2 linked regions of the Cricetulus griseus genome follow. The protein of the gene in region 2 binds, or shares a complex with, the protein of the main gene of each other region. Links are inferred from orthologs where the notes say so. Each region holds a gene or a part of one and is shown on either strand. Other genes may lie near its edges.

The links. Proteins that work in one complex are often made in the same cells at the same time.
Region 1: the proteins of Mapk8 (region 2) and Dusp16 are in contact, whole or in part, in a crystal structure (PDB 4YR8), measured with the Homo sapiens proteins. The link is inferred for Cricetulus griseus from reciprocal best matches to the Homo sapiens genes MAPK8 and DUSP16. Residues at the interface, in NP_001310257.1 of Homo sapiens: Arg189, Val196, Ile197, Leu198, Gly199, Asp229, Ile231, Trp234, Gln253, Thr255, Val256, Thr258, Tyr259, Val260, Asn262, Arg263; in NP_085143.1 of Homo sapiens: Phe215, Leu267, Asp268, Tyr271, Lys275, Pro279, Ile281, Ser282, Pro283, Asn284, Phe285, Asn286, Leu288, Gly289, Gln290, Leu292, Asp293.

The regions. Positions count from the first base shown.
Region 1 is NC_048601.1:14,194,556-14,198,204, reverse strand, and holds part of Dusp16 (dual specificity protein phosphatase 16), read right to left. Parts: intron 1,262-3,649; 5' UTR 901-1,261; coding exon 673-900; intron 1-672. UniProt on the Homo sapiens protein: Dual specificity protein phosphatase involved in the inactivation of MAP kinases. Dephosphorylates MAPK10 bound to ARRB2.
Region 2 is NW_023276807.1:185,964,850-185,968,517, reverse strand, and holds the start of Mapk8 (mitogen-activated protein kinase 8), read right to left. Parts: upstream 2,930-3,668; 5' UTR 2,779-2,929; intron 1-2,778. UniProt on the Homo sapiens protein: Serine/threonine-protein kinase involved in various processes such as cell proliferation, differentiation, migration, transformation and programmed cell death.

The DNA of each region.
Region 1 (3,649 bases), on a different chromosome or scaffold from region 2:
GGAGTTCAGAGCCATCTCAGCTATATAGCAACTTTTAGAACATATAAGACTTGTCTCAGAAAAACAAAAGGGGGGGGGAACAGCCTTTCCCAACATATACACATATGGCCGAGAATAATTATTTCCTGAAGAAAATGTCTTAACCAATATTACCACATATAAATATTACTTTTACTTCTAATAATTAATTCTTACTTTCAAAGCACTTGAAAAGAACGACTTTCAGTGGATTTGGAGAAAAGACAAAATGTTGTTTAAATTGATAAGACAATCTCATCAAGACACTAATACATAAACATAGTATTGTGTCCAAATTACAATAAGTTAACTATTATGTATAGCTTAAAATAATACTTTCCTTCCCCTGACATTCTTGAGACAGGATCTTGCTATGTAGCCCAGGCTTGCCTTGAACTTGTGGCAATCTTCTCCCTCACCCTCCCATGTTAGGATTATAGGTAGGCATAAGCTACAATTGCCTGACTTAGTTTAAAATATTCTTAATATGACAATGTGATTGTTAATCTATTTTTAGGTATTGCAAGATTGCCAAATTCCAAAAGACAACCAAAATTTCCTCAAATTACTTTCTGTACTTAAAAAATAATCTTCAATCAAAATATTTCTTCGGTTGCTATGTCCACTTACTTTAAAAAGTCATAAAGAATTTACCTTATGCTTTGCAGAATGCTGGATAAGTTCTGTAATTAATACTTTGTCCTGTTGCAACCTTCGCTTCATCAGCTTGGAGCAGTTAATATTAATGGCTTCCAAAATGTGGGATGTATTGTATTCCACAAATGGCCGACTATCAATTAGCAGCACTTTTTCCGTTCCACTTTCCAGCAGAGCCACCAACCTCTCAGTAACAATTTGAGTTCCAATCATCTCATGGGCCATGACAACAATAAGTCCTCTTTTCCCACCTCGTTCTTTAATTTTCCCGATGATGTAATGGTGGTGTGTTCAAAGGCTCAGCCACTCCATTGTACTATAAATGTATGAGGTCAGGCTAGTGGTGACTGGCAAAAGGAGAGTTAAACCCATTTCAGCAAGAGCCCTCCAACTGAATGTCTCTTTCTCTTTCCTGCTGACGTGCCTTGCAAAGGACTCCTTCCACAAAGCAGCCCCTCACATCTGATCCATGGGGAGATGACGGGAATAACCATCCACAACAAAAGATGCTTTGGGGCAGCCAGGGCATTACATCATCCTTTACCTTTGCTCCCTCACTCCAACAGCTTTACACTGGACTGACAACCTATACGAAGAGAGAAAGAAAGACAGAAAACAAAACATGGGGTCAGAAATAAGAATGAGTACCAGATTAGAGAATGTATGATTCATAATATTTACTTCATTAATCTAATTCCATACTTAATGCACTGTGTCATTTGAACAAACAAAAAAGATCAAGTAGACACAGCTTGAAGAGGGAGAAACCGGGTATACTATTAATTCAGTTTTAAGCTTACAATATAAAAACTTCAAGAAAACAAAACTTAGCATTCATAATTATAATCACCTGAGATCCCAAACTAAATGGTTTGTATGAAGTTAAAAGGCTAGAAAAGGTAGCTCAAAGTGTTACTATTCCAAATGGTTTTCTTCCATTTTATTTACTTATTCCTGAAAACAGTACACAGAACAATAGCAAAGAATTGGGTTAGCAAGTCCATATTATTAGGAGAGGAAAAAAACAAAACACTTTTCTCCTGGCTTAAAAATTACTGTGATGAGTACACAGGTGCAAACAGTAGCCCCTTGAGAAAGGTCAGGAAAACAAGGCTCCACACAGTTCAGTTATCTTTTAAGCACACTTCAGTTACCTTTTAAGAGCTACACAGGGCCTGTGATGTGCACAGCTACACAGCAGGTGATTTCACAGTCATGACCCTGGCCTATCTCCTTCCCAAGCCCGTATCTCCACCTCAAGGTCCTTGACCTGCCATCATGACCATGGCAACTCTTATAAAGGAGAACATTTAACTGGGACTTGCTTACAGTTTCAGAGATTTGGTCCATTATCGTCATGATAGGATACCGCATCATGTAGGCAGACATGATCCTGGAGAAGGAGCTGGGAGTTCGAAATCTTCATCTACAGGCAGCAGAAGCAACTGTGTGCCACACTGGGTGTAGCTGGAGCATGGGAGACCTCAAAGTCCACCCCACAGTGACACACCTCCTAGAAGATCATTTTCTTCAAACCACACAGGCATGTCCTTTCTAAGGCTAGAAGTTAGGGATTCTCCTGAGAATGTTCTCCTTTATAAGAGTTGTCATGGTCATGATGTCTCTTCACAGCAAAAGAAACCATAACTAACAGAACCCTTTAACCCGGAATTTGAAGATAGTGTGCAGAGCCCTTAAAATGCTTCCCCCATCTCATCAAACTCTTGAAGGAACCATTTCCTACGTAACACTAATTGGAGTTTAGTGTCCAAAATTTGTGTTGGGTCCTAGCCTTTGGCATTCTTAGATTTGTATCTATCTTGTTCCATTTTCCTGACGTGAAACATTCTCTGACTAAAATGAGAAGTTTGCTACTGGCATTCAACTTCTAGAGATGTACATTTGGTGGAAATGGCTTGTACTTCCACTCTGCTTGTAGATACGGTGCTCAATTTAACTTTCATAGTAAGTAAAACCTTTCTTGTTAGAAAATGAATTAAGATTATAAATAAATATTTGATTGCTTGATTTCAGAACAAGGTGGTAGAGATTTCAATCTTCTTAAGGTCATATTCTATCGTTTTAAGCTTAAATTTCAAGCCTAGGGCATGGAGAAAAGAGACCAGGCTATAAAGAGAAGTGGCCTGGAATTTACTGGTTATGTAGCTTCTACAAAAGACAGATGCAGAAGTGAGGATCTCCTCACAAATATTTGTTCTGAGGACAAAACTACCTAATTTATCTAAAATTCATAAATAAAAGTGACCATGGGTCAAACAGAGAGAGGGGAGGAGGAGGAAGAGGAGAAGGAGGGGGAGGAATGCACTCAAGAAGAAAACACCAGTGAAGCTGGGCATGACAGTGCCTGTCTTTCCTGCTAGGATCAAGGGGCTGAAAAGGAGGACTTCCGAATGCCAGGCCAGTCTGGGCTACATAGTTAGATCCTCTGTCTCAGATGTGGGAGGCAGCACTGGTGAGCAAAGCTCACTAGTATCTGGAATCAAAAAGACATCACTTAGGCTAGAGATATGGCTCAGCAGTTAAGAACTCCAGCAGCTCTCACAGAGAAATAAGGTTCAATTTCCACCAACCATCTTTAACTCCAATACAGGAGATCCAATGCCTTCTCATGCAACAGGCACATACATGGTGCACAGACATGCATGCAGTCAAAACATAAATATTTTCTTTAAAAGAAAAAAAAGGCATCACTGAGTGGATGAAAACATAAGTAATTCCCTCTCCTATAAAAGTCCAGCTACCACCTTTCTCACAGGGCCCGATATAGAGGCACCTGAGAAATCTTATTTTACAAATCCCACATTTATTATATGTCCAGGTCTTGTCTTCTAAGCACCAAGTTTCATTACACTGTATTGATTTTCAATATACTTTTATGTCAGTGAGGAATAAGAATCACCTCTAAGTTCTAGAAGAAACTAGAGCAAGACAATCAACAAACTTTTGCAAAGCA
Region 2 (3,668 bases):
TCATTCATAGAACAAATAAGATTCTAATTGTATTCATTTTGGTAACAATTTATTCTTTAGCTTTTGTAGCCCAGACTGGCCTCAAACTCATCTTGTCTTGGCCTCTCAAGTCCTGGGATTACAGGCATGTATCACCACATATGGCTCAATTAACTCTTATACTAAATTTCCTTTCCAAGTAATTTCTCTAAGGATTAAAAGGAGCATGAAATATACAGTTTCCTAATATGCCACGACAGTTAAAGGGTACCCTTTTCATTAAAGGGACTTATTTATTAACAGAACCCATACTCTCTTCCTTTCAAACACCAGACTGCTTTTTTTTTTTTTTTAAGGGGGTTTTCTTTGTGGTACAATGATGCTCCAGAATGGTATAGTAGTGATCAATGCATAATTATGCAAGTAGACTAAACACCACTAAAAAATACTCTATGAGAGCCACTCTTTATGTGAATTAAATCTCAAGAAAGCTGTTTAAACAACAGAATTTAGAAGACAACCTAACTGAATTTATGCAGAGTCTGTCTGTGTGTGAGCCACTCAAATGATTTCTTAATTCCAGAGTCCCTTCTGGAACCTCATACACTTAGCTAGGTAAAGCAATAAAAGTTTGGTGCCCCAAGGTCTATCACTCAGAGTAATAGAATAATTTCCTTATTTTTCCATTCTTATTCTACAGTAAATAAGTTCATCTGAATGACTTTTCATATCGAAAAGAAATATTTTTTAAATAGTGGAAACGTGCCAAAACTTGGATAAATTCATAGTATTTTGCATTTTAAACCCATATGCTCTGTGAGATAGATAAGTACAAGCTAAAACCTGACCTTTCCAGTAAGCAACTCTAAAACATTAACCAGCTCTAGACTATTAGAAATAAAATATCTGTAAAACACATGTGGGTGTTGTGCTTTTCTACTCAAAGAAATCATAAAAACTTGTGAAATAATAGTGGGAAAAGATACATTCCCTAAAAGTCTGGGAATCTGGGTTTGATGTCTAGAACCCACTTAAAGGTAAAAGAAAATCAACCCCACAAAGTTGTCCTCTGGCTTCCACATGCACACAGAAGTATGTGTACCCCCTGCCCCAAAAAACACACCATGCACCCTAGATAGTAATTTTTTTTTTTTAGGGGAGAAAAATGAAATCATGTTAGATTCCTAATGAAACACCACTGTTAGGTCTGGGTTCATTCACACATCTGGCTGGAAAAAGCCCTTATCTAAAATATTGGAAGTGAACAAAGTACCCAACTTTGATGACAAAGTACCAAGTGAATGCCCCTTATCTGCAAAGGACTGTAAGTGTTTCAGATTTTGGAGTATCTCCGACTTTCAAGTTATGGATGCTCAACTTTTACACACATACTTAACAGACCCCCCACCACACACACACACAACACAATTTTCTACTTTATTAATTATATGCAAAAAATTCAGGGGTGGTCTTAAAATAGTGAATGCCCTGGAAGTAAAGCATAAAAACAAAAACAGTGATCCCAAACCCTCTTTTATCTTAACAGGTAGTATCCTCTACTAATTTACGATGCAGCCAACTGAGAGTGATGCTTGACACTTCTCAAACTTCGGGGGTGGGGGTGGGATTTAAAGCTTCCAATTTTCCTCTATAAACTTTTTTTTTTAATCAACTCAACGTGTATGACTTCCATGCTAGGTGCTGGAGAAATGATGCAAGATAGGCATCGAAGTACCATTTTGAGTGCTTGCTTTCATCATACACAGCAGTAAACATGTTCACTCAGAGAACCTGACCTCCCAGGTCTAACAGCCTGAGGTAACCATTAACAACGACAAGAAATTAGGGGAGTGGTGGTAAGATTTAAGAATAATGGTGGTATATTTAAGCAAATCTAGCTCTTCTTCACATTACCTATCACATTACCTTCAGAAGTTCTAATAAAACGAGGCAAATACCTTACTTAACATATATCACTTATATAACAGTCTTATTTAAAGGCACATCTATTCTATTCCAAAGTACCCTATTCGTAAGGGTCTTTCTCTTGGCCTTCACATCCTCTCCATCTGGATACAGTACTAACAGCTGCTGAATGAATGAATGAAATAAACAGATGTTCTAACTGACCAAAAGGTACTTGGCGGATGCTCATCTCAAAACACAATAGGCTGACAGACCAGAATTCTACTGAAAAGACCACTTGATTTCAGAAGTAGAAATAGCAACTACTGGACACCGTGCAGTCAACATGTTATTAAATTGCCGGTGGTATAGGGAACTTTCGGGAATGAAAATGCAAGGTGTTCCTTACGGTACTTTAAAATGGACTTGGATCTACCGTGTCTGGACTGGGAATCCAGGCACAAGACAAAGAGACAGCGGTGGGGGAAAGTCAAAAGGTCAGCGCCAGGAGCCCCTCTGAAGGCGCGGCCCGCAGGCCGGCGCGCTCGCGGCCACCCGGCCCTTCACGGCGTCGCGGCACTCACGTCCGCACAAAGAAACCGCCCACAGTCAAAACACGCTCCCCGTGGGTGCGGGAGACCTATGTACGGTCGCGTCGGCCCGATCTCCGCGAGAGCACCTCCGAACTTGCCGCCCACCGGCTCCATTCTCCCCGCGCAACGTGGAAACCGGCCAGAGTGGAGAAGCCAGGTCGCGCCGAGTGGACCACGCCCCCCGCTGCCCCGCCGCCCGCGCTATTGTTCCCGCGCCGCCCCCGCCCCGCGCGCGTTCCCGGAGGGGGTCACGGCCGGGGGAAGGCGGCGGCCGCCCGGGCCGCGGAGCCCGCGCACTCACCCGGCAGCGCAGCCAATGGCGACCGGGAAGCCCGTAGCGGTGAGCGGCGCCGTCCCGCGGTGGCCGCGGCCGCTACTCAGCCCTGCTCGCGGCTCCGCGTTCCGGCCGCGACGTCCGGCCTCGGCCGCTCCGCTGACTAACAGAGACGCGGGTCGTCAACGCGCACGCCCGCCCACGTCATCGCGCAGGGCCCCGCCCCCGCGCCTGCGAGCGGCCTGGGGGCGGAGCGGCCCCGGGGGCCCGGATTGTGAAGGCGTGGCCCAGTGACCGGGGGCGTGGCTACATTGGAGAGCAGGCGGCACTCGCGGAGGTCGCCGCGGGCCGCAACTGGGAAAGCCGCGTGTGAGGGGCGTGGCCGGGAGCAGCAGGGGGCGGGGCTGCGACGGCACGTGGCGGCGCGTGGCGGCGAAACACCAGTCATAGCCTAAGCCTGCTGGGCTGCCAGCTTGTGGAGGGGCGTTAGTGTTTGAAGGTCAGGCACGCATGTCAGTGCACACACGTGAGCCACGGAGAATCCTACTTGGACAGCCACTCTTCCAAGGCCTACCACCCACCAATAAGAAAATGTTCTCCAGCTCCCTGGAAAAAGTTACCCCCCCAAAAAATAAATGCTCCAGATTCTTTGCATTACCTGATATACCTCCAAAGCCTCGTGTCTCCTGCAAATATTAGCTATGGACTGATTAACTGGCCAGCCTAACCACCCGACAATGGATGGAAAGGCATTTAAATTACTATTATTCATTCAGTAGAGTATATTTATCCCTTTAAAGACAATGTGTTTGTTCAAAGGCATTTTTACCAACCAGAGAAAGTAACTTATAAGAGAAGGGAGCAAGAAACACGTACACATAGAATGATTACACATATATAAAAAATACATTACATGC